2 linked regions of the Arabidopsis thaliana genome follow. The protein of the gene in region 2 interacts with the protein of the main gene of each other region in a pairwise test. Each region holds a gene or a part of one and is shown on either strand. Other genes may lie near its edges.

The links.
Region 1: the proteins of APA1 (region 2) and KNAT4 interact in a two-hybrid assay, tested with the Arabidopsis thaliana proteins (one large-scale study listed by BioGRID).

Annotation. Positions count from the first base shown.
Region 1 is NC_003076.8:3,508,072-3,514,339, forward strand, and holds KNAT4 (homeobox protein knotted-1-like 4), read left to right. Parts: upstream 1-1,761; 5' UTR 1,762-2,336; coding exon 2,337-2,909; intron 2,910-3,400; coding exon 3,401-3,521; intron 3,522-3,717; coding exon 3,718-3,902; intron 3,903-4,236; coding exon 4,237-4,368; intron 4,369-4,526; coding exon 4,527-4,663; intron 4,664-4,862; coding exon 4,863-4,896; 3' UTR 4,897-5,670; downstream 5,671-6,268.
Region 2 is NC_003070.9:4,015,961-4,022,580, forward strand, and holds APA1 (aspartic proteinase A1), read right to left. Parts: upstream 4,806-6,620; 5' UTR 4,037-4,805; coding exon 4,009-4,036; intron 3,920-4,008; coding exon 3,567-3,919; intron 3,483-3,566; coding exon 3,422-3,482; intron 3,237-3,421; coding exon 3,142-3,236; intron 3,058-3,141; coding exon 2,945-3,057; intron 2,862-2,944; coding exon 2,693-2,861; intron 2,607-2,692; coding exon 2,567-2,606; intron 2,435-2,566; coding exon 2,370-2,434; intron 2,279-2,369; coding exon 2,165-2,278; intron 2,065-2,164; coding exon 2,000-2,064; intron 1,883-1,999; coding exon 1,726-1,882; intron 1,629-1,725; coding exon 1,509-1,628; intron 1,419-1,508; coding exon 1,330-1,418; intron 1,244-1,329; coding exon 1,159-1,243; 3' UTR 752-1,158; downstream 1-751. Other genes in the region: AT1G11905 (B-cell receptor-associated protein 31-like protein), read left to right, coding at 1-262; AT1G11915 (wall-associated receptor kinase galacturonan-binding protein), read left to right, coding at 5,870-6,620. UniProt on the Arabidopsis thaliana protein: Involved in the breakdown of propeptides of storage proteins in protein-storage vacuoles. Possesses aspartic protease activity in vitro.

The sequences.
Region 1 (6,268 bases), on a different chromosome or scaffold from region 2:
CAATTATCATTAACTAATTAATTAATGATTTTGTTTCTGTCCCTAATATAGACAGCACAAGTTGTTGATTAAGATTCTTTGTACCACCCTACTCTTAGCTTTGGTCCTAGACAATCAATATAATTAAGTAGGTCCAAATCCAAGGCTTGTTTATGTGAATGTGAAATAAGAAATAATCGGTGATTTTTATTCAAAAAAGAAAAAATAATCGGTGGTGGTCGTTCAATCAGTAATCTCGAGGTCCGAAAGCACAATGCATATCACGAGTTCAAGATTTACTGGTGATTACAATTAACTTGGCACATTGTAATTACAAGATTTTTATATATATATTTCATGTTTCACTAACCATAAGGTAAGGAAATAAAAATAAAAATGAAGGAGTGATTAGTTGGAGCCGTAGGCCGTAGGGAACTTCGTCGTTTCTCGTAGAAAAGAGTGTAGGGACGACAAGAGTTGTTGTGAAATGGACGACTGTGATCGTTAATGTGACTCTCTTTGTCCAATCATGTGTTAGCTGATTCCACACGAAACATAGACCTTATCACACTGGAAGTTTACTTGACACATGTCTCTACTCTTTTATTCATCATCACTCAGACCTTACTGTTTGGATATTTTGGTGGATTCAACTTTGTCGTTTAGTCTCATTCATCGGCTCTCTCGCGTGTATCGCACGCAAATAGAACACTCAATGGCCAAATCTTGGAAGCAGTCAATGGCCACCAACCTTCAATAAATTACCACTAATCATTGGATAGTTCTAAGAAATGTCTACTTTCATATATTAATGCCAATTTTACCGGTTAAATTTTGACTTGACAACAAAAGATTTAACTTTTCTTATGAATACAAAATCAAAGAATAAATTTAAACTGAACAATTGGTATACGAGATAGAGAAACCAACTTCGATCAAAGTATGAGTAACGAAGCTTGATCAAAGTATGAGTAGGTTAAAGTTAAATTACTTTTAACAAGGTAGAGACAGGAGTGGTCGTGGATATAGGTTAGACTAGTCTAAGTGATGGAGCTTAATTAGACGGTTACGAATTGTTTTGCATCACATTCCTAATAAGTACATTAGATGGGTTTGATACAAATCGATGGATATTTATATTGTATTGCTTCCAATTCTCATATTAAAAACATTTGGAACCACATGCAAAAATTTATATGCTTGTAACATAAGTATATAATCTATTTATTTGTTTATTTTGTCAATGCTTAGTGATCAAATTAACAAAGTATAAGTATATGTATGTTTCTATAATATCTGAAATATTTATTCCTAGATAATATGTGTATGCCAAACATTTGATATCGTGTATCTGTAATCATGTTTTTTTAGCAGAAGTCATGAGTTCATACCAAAATTAATATGCAAATTTTATGTTTTTTCTGATGATGGGATTAAATTTGTCGTACTTTTTTGATAAGACAGCAACTATAAGCTTAAGTCAAATTTCTGAAATTGGTCCCCCACACCTCTAAATTTTTGAATCGTTTGTATTTTTTTTGTTACTAAATACAAAATAATGTAAAATTTAAATTTGTACGGCTGGATTCTCTTATCCGATCTATCGCATGCCAATTTCTTCAGGGACCACAATTAGAGGAAATCGTTATCACGACACGTGTCCTCCGATATTTTTGGCGCCGAGTAGTGACGTCATTATTAATGGTCCCCTCCTTCCTTGCTTTTTTCCCATTCGTCTACTCTCCTTTTTCTTTAACAAATTATCTTTTTTTTCCTCCGATATTCTTCAAAATTTGTTTTAAAATCCTTTGCAGATTTGTGTAATTTATTTACTTTTGCTTGGTACCAAAAACAAATAGAGCAAAAATGAGCAATTCTTTTTGATAAGCAGAAAAAAATGTTAGGAACGAATGAAGAAAAAGTGATGCAGCTATTTCCTTTTACTGTCACTTCGTAATTCGTATCATTCTTTTGCCGTCAACTTCTACCATCTCTTTTTTTTGTAAAACGATAAAACTTTTTGTTGTCGCTGTAAATGTTAGTAATCTGACCTAATCCCAATTTATTATGGATCACCAAAAAGCTGGTACTCTACAATTTAATAATAAAAGAAGAAGAATAAATATAGGAATAAATCGTCTTTTTTGGTGTAAGCTACATATAAAATTCAAACCGTCAAACACACATACACATCGAAACCCTTATATTTCATTTTCTTTCTGTTTTAGAGAAGAAAGTTTCTATAATTGATTGATAAATCTGAACATCAAAGCTAAGAATTTCTCTTCTTTTTTTCTTCTTAATTCATCTTTCCCTCTCCGAAACAGAAATTCAAAAACAAATTCAACACGAAAACGATGGCGTTTCATAACAATCACTTTAATCATTTCACCGACCAACAACAACATCAGCCTCCTCCTCCGCCGCAACAGCAGCAGCAACAACATTTTCAAGAATCAGCACCCCCTAATTGGCTCCTCCGCTCCGACAACAACTTCCTCAATCTCCACACAGCTGCCTCTGCCGCCGCTACAAGCTCCGATTCTCCTTCTTCCGCCGCCGCTAACCAGTGGCTCTCACGATCCTCATCCTTCCTCCAACGAGGCAACACCGCAAACAACAACAACAACGAAACATCCGGTGACGTCATCGAAGACGTTCCCGGCGGAGAGGAGTCAATGATCGGAGAGAAGAAGGAGGCGGAGAGGTGGCAGAATGCGAGACACAAGGCGGAGATACTGTCTCATCCACTATACGAGCAACTTTTGTCGGCACACGTGGCGTGCCTGAGGATCGCAACGCCGGTGGATCAGCTTCCGAGGATAGACGCACAGCTTGCTCAGTCTCAAAACGTCGTGGCTAAGTACTCAACTTTAGAAGCCGCTCAAGGACTCCTCGCCGGCGATGACAAGGAGCTTGACCACTTCATGGTAACTTAACTTCTCTTTCCTTCTTACCACTCTCAATTCCCATTATTTTATTCCTTTTCTTTTCTTTTGGAAAATAAAATCACTAAAAATTACTTTCATCTTTTATATTTAAAACGGTTTGACAAATTTGAATATTTTGTTGTTAATTATCTCCAAATTTATAAAAGTAAATTAGAGAAGAAAATCAAAAATTCTTTCTAGACTTGTACTTTGCACCGACAGACATGATCAGTGGGTTGGATAAATCGTCAGTTAAAAATTTGGATATTAGTTTTGCACAGTAGTAATTTGACAGCATAAGGTTTATTTTGAGATAGATTTTTGCTGAGTGTAAGTGATTGAGCAATTTCATTGATTGCAGTTACGGATACAGTGATCTGACAAAAACTAGTTTGTCACTTTCTGTATCTATATCCCATATTTTACTGTTCATGGACGTATTTGTATGATTGTATCTGTTGTCTGAAAGATATTTCCATGTTTTTGTGCAGACGCATTATGTACTATTGCTTTGCTCTTTCAAAGAACAACTGCAACAGCATGTTCGTGTTCATGCAATGGAAGCTGTTATGGCCTGTTGGGAGATTGAACAGTCGCTTCAAAGTTTTACAGGTTAGTTTTTAAGACTTCTACTAAATTATCAACTTTAATTTGTCATTTAGCTGTTATGGTAACTTTTGTATTTCACTATAGTATTGTAAAAGACACAAGGTTCTTTTATTTTATTTCTCATTTCAATGCTGTTTTTTATATTTAGTACCTACTTCTTGAGGTTTTAATTTAACACTTGTTTTGTTGAATGAGACAGGGGTATCTCCTGGTGAAGGCACAGGAGCAACAATGTCTGAGGATGAAGATGAGCAAGTAGAGAGTGATGCTCATTTGTTTGATGGAAGCTTAGATGGGTTAGGGTTTGGTCCTCTAGTTCCCACTGAGAGCGAGAGATCTTTGATGGAACGAGTCAGACAAGAACTCAAACATGAACTCAAGCAGGTAACTAGTGAAATATACTATATCCATCATTTACTACTACACATATATAAGATCAATGATAACAAATCCTTCACACCTTATTATATATCGTTGTAGCTAAAGTAAATATGCTTCTATTTAGTCCAATCAACCAAGAACTTGTCAAAACTTTATTTTTGATCTACAAAAAGACTCAAATGAATTTATGATTTTTAATTGTCTGAAGCTTGTTTGATGAGTTGTCAGTTTGCAACATCTACATAGTACTTACACGCACTTATATGCATGAAAATTGTGGTACACACTATATATAGTTAGCTTAACTAATGATATTGACCCATGTTTTTGTGAAAAGGGTTACAAGGAGAAAATTGTGGACATAAGAGAGGAGATACTGAGGAAGAGAAGAGCTGGAAAATTACCAGGAGACACCACCTCTGTTCTCAAATCATGGTGGCAATCTCATTCTAAGTGGCCTTACCCTACTGTGAGTTCCCTCTTTCTACTTCTTCAGTCACTCGCATGAACACGCCTCGTGGGTCTTTACCTAGTTCTGTCCCGAAAATCTTTGACTACATCATTTTTGCAACTTCATATGCTTTCTCAATCTCCTAAGTTTTAAATGAATCATGTAAATTTTGACAGGAGGAAGATAAGGCGAGGTTGGTGCAGGAGACGGGTTTGCAGCTCAAACAGATAAACAATTGGTTCATCAATCAAAGAAAGAGGAATTGGCATAGCAATCCATCTTCTTCTACCGTCTCAAAGAATAAACGCCGAAGGTACTTTGCACCAACATAACTTTATAGGAAGAGTATCCAAGAAAAGACAAAATATGATCACACGATAAGATACAATCTCTGAAATATATATATGTTAGGTGTGACAAAGTTTAGCTTGTTTATGTATGGTTAGATTAATGTTTAGTTACATTTTCAAGATATATGGAGTCATTAAATTTGGAGGGTTTTCTTTATGAAGCAATGCAGGTGAAAACAGCGGAAGAGACCGTTGAGATCAAGCTTGCATGTAGAGATCCAAAAGCTTTATAGAAAGGTGGAGGCATGAAGACAAAGAATTCTTACACAACAAACGTAGGACGTAATTTTGTGCCAGTACATGGTATGGCTTTCATATTTGGTAATGATTAGGGCCACACAAAATTAAACCCCAAAGCATGATTTGTAATATGAGGTTTTAGATGGACTTTATGATAGGATCGTCAGTCTTCACTGCCATCTCCATTCTCCACCATCAATCCATCATTATATCTTGTGAATAACATGGAAATTTCTCGTTATGCATTTAATTTGTGCAATCATTGGCCGTAATCTACACAAATATACATATTAATTTAGCTTGAATATATTATCTCAATTAATGGTTTCAATTTTTTTGTTTTGTTTTGTGAGTGGAACCACTTTTTATGTGGAATTGTTAACCCTAATGCCAAAATCTAAACTCTGCGAAGGTCGCCAGCAAACGAAAGAAAGAGATTATCTCCGCCGTTGTCAAAATTATTAAAAGGGATTATAAAGTTTTTCAATTTGGGCCCCTTTCCTGCGTTTTCTTTATTGTCCATTATGGGCCTCATTGTCTCTAGACTCTCTACCTTACAGGGTTTGCTCGCCGACGTTTCATACATAGTCCTCTTGTTTCTAAGGATGCCGATTAACACTTTTCATTTTTATCAACAAACTGGCTTGCAAGGGTTTTGAACCTGAGTGATGACCTACCATTTCTATCCATACTATAATCAGATTTTTTTTTGTTCTTTTTTATAATCAAGTTGGTGAAATAATTAACAACAATACTAGCACAAATCATTAACATAATGGTTCATACCTCATAGCCATATAAGATCATGAAAAAGTTATAGTTTTAGAAGTTTGTTTTTATTTTTAGTTAAAATTTAGTTTTTCCAATTAAGACCGAGTTATTAGTTAACAATGTAAAACTTAAGTAAATGCGATTTCTTTGGATTGGTTTGATTCGACTACAGTAAAACATAGGTCTTTGTTTTGTTTTAACCATAATAAAATCAATTGGATTATAAATAACTTTAGTTCTAATTCCGTTTACACATTTAGGTTTGCTTCAATTATAATCCTTCATGGAGATAGATAGCTAGATTAGTGGTGGTAATAATGTATGAGTTGAGAGAGTCTCTTTTTAGGTAGAATAAGATTGCACATGACGTGGCATTGTGAACGTTGTGGGGTTTTGTGATTGGTCTTGTCTTCTACTTACAAGACAGTCATATGAGAGGAGCATTTTAGAGCTGGCCCAATCATAAAAGACAGCTAGCTCTCTGTGACTCTGTGTTATCCGTTATGTTGCAGCAGCGACGAAAACAATTTGCTTCTTCTTCTTCTCTTTTGTCCTTA
Region 2 (6,620 bases):
GGCCAGAGGTTTAGATGAAGTTAAAAACTTGATGGAAGAAATTACGTCCCTTCGGAAAAGGCAAGAGCAGCTGGACTCTGAGCTTGAGGCAAGGTCTAAAGAAATCCGTACCGAGAAAACTAGTGCGGTTGCTCTACAGAAGCAATCTGAAGGGTTCCTTATTGAGTTTAACCGGTTGCTTGAGGAAAACCAGGTGCTGCGAGACCAATTGCACACTGTGGATTCGAAACTTTCGCGTTCAAGCAGCAAAAAGAATACTTGAGAGACCTTATTCCAACACTTGAAACTTCTTTGCGATTCTGCCGTCTGAATATATATGTTTCGAGTTTGATATCAGGAGCTTGTGGTTTGGTGTTATCGCATCTTGTTAACATGGAAGATGATTGGGAAAGATCAGAGAATACAAAACAAGTATAGGTTTGCTTCTTGTTTAAGTGTTTAGCTAAGGTAGAAATTAATCAATTCTTCTGCTATAGGAAACTGTAACTCGTTGTAACTTGTTCATTTCGCAACAAAAACTTCTCGAATTGGTTCTTATTTCCTTCCATATACGTATACAGTCGCTGCAAGTGGGTTGTCATTATAATTTCTCATAAGTTCACAGACTTGTTCAAAATAGATACTTGTTCCGAAATTCAGGAAGGATGCTGCAAGCTTCGTGTTGGGGAATTTACCTCGCTCTTGACGAATTATTAAGGTTTTAGAAAATTGGGTCTCAAACAGTCTATCAACTTAAAATGCATGTTTCAAGCAGGAACGTTCTTCAATATATGACAAATAACTATTATCATCGTGACTTTTTGACGTAGGAATTTATGTGGTTAGAAAATGAAGATAAAGCGAGCTTGACCATTTTCAAATTTTTTATGCTACACCGTTTTTACCGAACCATTTGATACAACTTACTAAGCATAAACAAAAGAGGCAGGCTTTATTAAAGTTTTCAGTTTTTTCACCATCGAACTTACTTAGAAGGTATTTACAAAGCCAATGCCTTCAAAACTACAAAGGCCTTTTTTCGTTAGGAAACAACTTAAAAGGAACTGCGCCACCATTTCTACTACGACTCAAAGTCCTCAACTCCAGAAAACATACAAACAACACTTGAGACGCAGATTGTTCATACTAAAACCATACGCGACACCAACCCGATCGTGTTTAGGCTGCCTCTGCAAACCCGACCTGTTCGTTACCAAAGTCAAATACGGTGTGGTATTTGCCCATGAACACATCTCCCAAGATCCTGTTACATTTTTACCACCGTTCTTAGGGTTAGAAAAAGAAAGCAAGAAGAAATTGTGCTACAGAGTAATAGATTCAATGGTTTACCAGAGAGGTCCACGAGGTGGAGCAACGTCAAGAGCAATAAAACCACTGATGCACTGTGCCACAGGTCCCTCACCAACTTTCAGAACATACTGCTCACATCATACCAGTACAACAGATTAGTAGATGGTCATATTCACTACATAATATGAATGTTGTCTTTAAATAGTTCACTATCATACCTCTTCTGGAGCAAGATCAAATACTTTGCCTCCAATGGTAAGTGAAACAGTGGGCATTGTTGACAGTTGTGCACAGTCAACTGCAGACTCTCCCATTGGGCTGGGGAGGCGTTCACATAGCTGTTAAGAAAACCCACAGTAGCGATTTATAATCAGTAATCAGGACAACAATAACTACTGTTTCACAAAAGTCTTGAAATGACAACTTATTGGTTACCTCGTTGACGTAGTTCAATATGCGCTCTTGAGTCATGTTTTGCCTCAACTGGCTCTGGATCCACACAACAGCCATCTCACATGCAGAACACGCAGCATCTCCAACACCATTAGACAATTTGGCGTTTTCCTTGTCCACCACCGACTCAATGCCCATACTAGATAATTTATAAACAAAATCATACTAAATATGAGCAGATCACACGGAAAAACAAACAAGCATTCCAAAATGAAGATCCTAGCTTAATGGCAATGACTACAGATTATAACTTTACCTGACACCACGGGTACCATCAAAAGTACACAGACCAATCTGCGAGCAGATTTTCTTCGGTTGGGTCTGCAAGGCGCAAGGGGGATGAATGGTAAGCCAAAATAATTTGCACAGCATATGACTTGTCACAGATTTTATTAGCTAGTCCAATATTAAGCACACTAACCTCAGACAAAAGTAAATCCAAAATGGTCTGCCCGTATTGATCCACAACAGTCTTGCACTGCTGGCTAACAACTCCAGCTGCTCCAATAGCATGGTTTATCATGGTGATTATAGTCTACACAGGGAAAAAATTGAAATATTACTACATATACTAGTTAAAAAACCATAATTCTATAAAGCTATAAGCAATTTTAATTCTTGCTTACCGTTGGACCGGCAAGCAAAGATGTACCAGAATCTGCTATCGCAGAACAGCCACTTTCACAGAACCCTGTATAACAGTAACTCAAACTTTAGAACCAGTTGTCACCAGCAAACATAAATAGCAAAACCTTTTTGAATTTGTCAGGAAAAGCTATATATATGTGTTATAAAGAACAACGCCAATCAGTGTTACACATACCAGTGGGTGCACCGCCAATAAGAACATCACCCATGTCAAACTATAACAAAATATATATAGCTTGAGTTAGATCGTCACTGGAAAACGTTATGAGAAAACCAGACAAGGAAGTGATGTATCACAAACCTGCCAGTAGCCCTTTTGTGTCACAGGAACATATGTATGTTTGCCCTTGAAATGATTTGGATCAACACCTCCAAATACAAGTTCACCACCTTCTTCTTCATCTGCATTACGGTTAAGCCAAAATGAAAAAACCGGCTCCTTGATAAGGCCTTGCTTGAGCATGTTGTACCTGTAAAAAACAAGACATATTAGCATTAACACTACAGGAATGTAGTAACTCAGTCCAAACAAGAGAAGAATGTGCAGGCATACCAAACAGGAGCAGCTTTTCCAACAGAGATCTCTTGGAATCCAAGACCAAGGATACCATCAAATTTAGCTACAACAAATGTTATACCAGGCTCCTTGGTTGCCTCGATAAACTCCTGATGAGATAGACAAATGTTAAGAAGGAGGTCATTGATGTGTATGTTGTAAGAGTACTGATTAGGGTCGGACATATAGTTTACCTGATCCTTGACAACTAAATCGCCAACTGTGACAGCATCATTACTAAAAAAACCAGCAATTGCTCCAGTGCCGTAATGAATTGCGGCAGCTTTTCCTGCATCAAAGATGAGCAAGTTAGTTATAACCTAGCAGCTGCTATCAGTAGTGATGTTGCATCTTTTAACAATGGTTTTCTGCACATTAACATGAATTCTAGAGGCTACATTGAGTGAACTGTAAAGTATCTACCAACTGGGAAATCCAACTGCAAAAAATTTCAAGTTAAGAGAGAGAACAAACCATTCTTCTCATATGTGCTTGAACGAGACGACTTGTATTTGGGATGCAAGAGACATGCAAGCTGCAAAAGAGATAGAACACAATTAGTTTTCTACTCAAAAGTATCTCAACCACAGCTAACAACAATAGTCCAAATGTTGCTTACTGAGAAATAGCATTTTGATGATGGCACCCAGAGGTTAGAGCTCCCAGTGTCAAAAACCACAGTGAACTTCTGAGGTGGAGTACCAATGGCGATCTCACCATAGTACTGAGCATCTAGATAATTCTTAAGCACAACAACATCAGCATCTCCAGAATCTCCAAGTCTGTAAGCTCTCAGGGGCTTTTCTTGCTTGGATTCGACGCGTGCTGCAAGCCGATTTTTCGAATCCAACTTGAGTTTTTTCAGTCCAACTCTGAAGGTCCCGTCATTGCGCTCAGCAAAGGCAGAGAAACACAGGAGGAATGACACAATGAGTGAAACAGCAACCGTTCTAGAGTATATCTTCATTTTACCTATTCATTGACAACAAAAACCAAAAACATAAAACAAAGAAAGTTAGAATCAAGAGACCATCACAGAGAAAAAAAGCAGAGAACCATACCCATAAAAGTCAACCAGTATGTATACATATATTTATATCAGAGAGTTCATATTGAATGATGCAACATAAAAGAAAATTTGTAAAGTGACTAAAAATAGGCTAACTCGGTCCTCCTCCTCAAACAGATAACGAAGGACAATGTTACACGCAATATATTGTACAAACTACAAATTATTAGTTTAATTGGTCTCTCTCAATCAGCCACGAAGCAATAGCGTGGAAGCAATAAATAAAGTAAAAACTCTCTTGACTTTGCAAATGACTAAAGACTTCTTTTGCTAGAGAAAGTGATATAAACCTTGAAATCGACATTTGCTTGCCGAAATCAGAAAGCAAATACCCAGATTACAACAAAACCCTAAACATCCGTTCCTATAAACCTTTTCAACATAAATGGAAAGTTTTGTTCAATAAGACAAGCAATCTAGTAAAAAAAGGAAACAATCTCAATTGCACCAAGACTCACATGCAACATAATTGATTCATAAGACACTGAAAATCGCCACAATCGCGACAATAACAAGAGCATGAAATTTATTTTCTTCTTCTCAATCAACTAAAAACGATCACAACTATAATCGATAAATCTTCAAGTAAACAGTCCGATTACGTAATCAAACAAACCTAAAACCCCAAATAAATTCATACCACCGATGAAACCAAAATTAGCCACAAACCATACACAGATCACAAAATCTAAGCGAGTCTACTAATCACATCATACAATCATCCAGATTCAAAATCGAAGAACATGAAATTCGGTAACAAAACTCTTACCTAACTGCTCAGAAAACGATTTATGAACAAATCCACGAGTATTAAGGACAATAAATTAAGCAGAGAACTAAAAGTATAAGACAATCAACGAGAAGAGAATCGATAAGTTTCATAAGAAAGAGAGCTCACCAAAGCTAAAGCACCAGATTCTCAGAGAAATGAGGATTTTTGTTGAAGAAAACGAGAAGAGAGATGGTTACATTTATTTGCGAAGAAAGAGATGACTGTGAGGAGGGATAATGCTAAATTAACCGCGCTGTCTCCTAAATGGACAATTACAGGTGGAGGCCCACTGTATAATCCCGTCAAAAAAAAAAAGGAGATTTCGTGTGGGCTAATGTTTCGTTATTAGCCGTTGGATCTCTATATTGAACGATTGGATTTAATCGTTGACGGATGGATAGGAAGGCGTAACGTATCAAGTTTTATATTTAGTGAGAAATCACGTGTTTACGAATTTAGAGTGGATTACGTGCTCCTTGGAATACTAACCGTTGGATTGAGATGACTGAAATTGAACGGTTTCGATTAAAGAGTTCACCTTACATGGATAATGATCAATGTGTTGTTTATATTGGGCCTATGAGAAGCCCAATGTGTTGTTTACATTGAGATTATCTTCCAAAGATTACTTCACAAATCACAACCCTTTAAACGAAATTCTAAATAAAAGAAAATTCAAAACTATTATATACTGAAATTACTATTTTGTATTTTATAAGGTTCTCATACATTTTATTTTTTTTGTTAAATGGTTTTTAGATAACATGTTAAAGAACAAATTTTGTTGTAAAATATCAGAAAAAAGAATAGTACGTTTGTTGACATATTGTATGTAAATATTTCAAATAATCTGAAACAAAACCACGAGTCCTCTTGGAATACTTTATACTAAAAAGAAAGGTGAAATTTTAAAAACAAACCGAAACCTAAAATAAGCAATATTAACAAGCACATGACAAGATTGATTCTTAAACTCTTTAACAAGACATTCCAAGCTTACTCAACACTTCACACCACCAAATTATAATCTCATAACTAAAAACTACCCAATAATCAAATCTAAACTCCTAATTTTTGAACAATGTCTCCACTTCACTCTTACATTATCTTCTTCTCCCTTCTCATGACCATCCTTCTTCAATCATCAACAACATCATCCCAATCAAATCTCTGCAGATCTTCTTGCGGCAACATTCCGATAAATTACCCTTTTTCCATCGACGACGGTTGTGGTAGCCCTTATTACAGACACATGCTCATTTGCTCCGACAACGATACCAAGCTCGAACTTAGAACACCATCTGGTAAATACCCTGTTAAATCTATAAGCTACTCTGATCCTCACCTTCTTGTCTCCGATCCATTCATGTGGAACTGTCAAGATCGAGACAATTTTCGACCCACTAGATCTTTTAGCATCGATTCAAGTACACACTTCACTGTCTCTCCTCAAAACGACTACTTGTTCTTCAACTGCAACACCGATAAAGTTATCGTCGAACCAAAACCGCTCTTCTGCGAAAGGTTTCCAGATAGATGTGACTCGTCCTGCGATAGTTCTAGCTATCTATGCAGACATTTGCCTGAATGTGGCTCTGCTTTGGGATCTAGGGTTTCTTGTTGTTCGTATTACCCTAAAGCGACTCAATCTCTTAGGCTCATGCTGCAGGACTGTGCGACGTATACAAGTGTGTATTGGAGGAGTACAGGTGTGGAGAATGCACCGTATGATCAGTTTCCAGAGTACGGGATAAGGGTTGATTACGAATTTCCAGTGACAATGAAGTGCCTTCTTTGCCAAGAAACGACTAAAGGTGGTGGAGTTTGTGGGT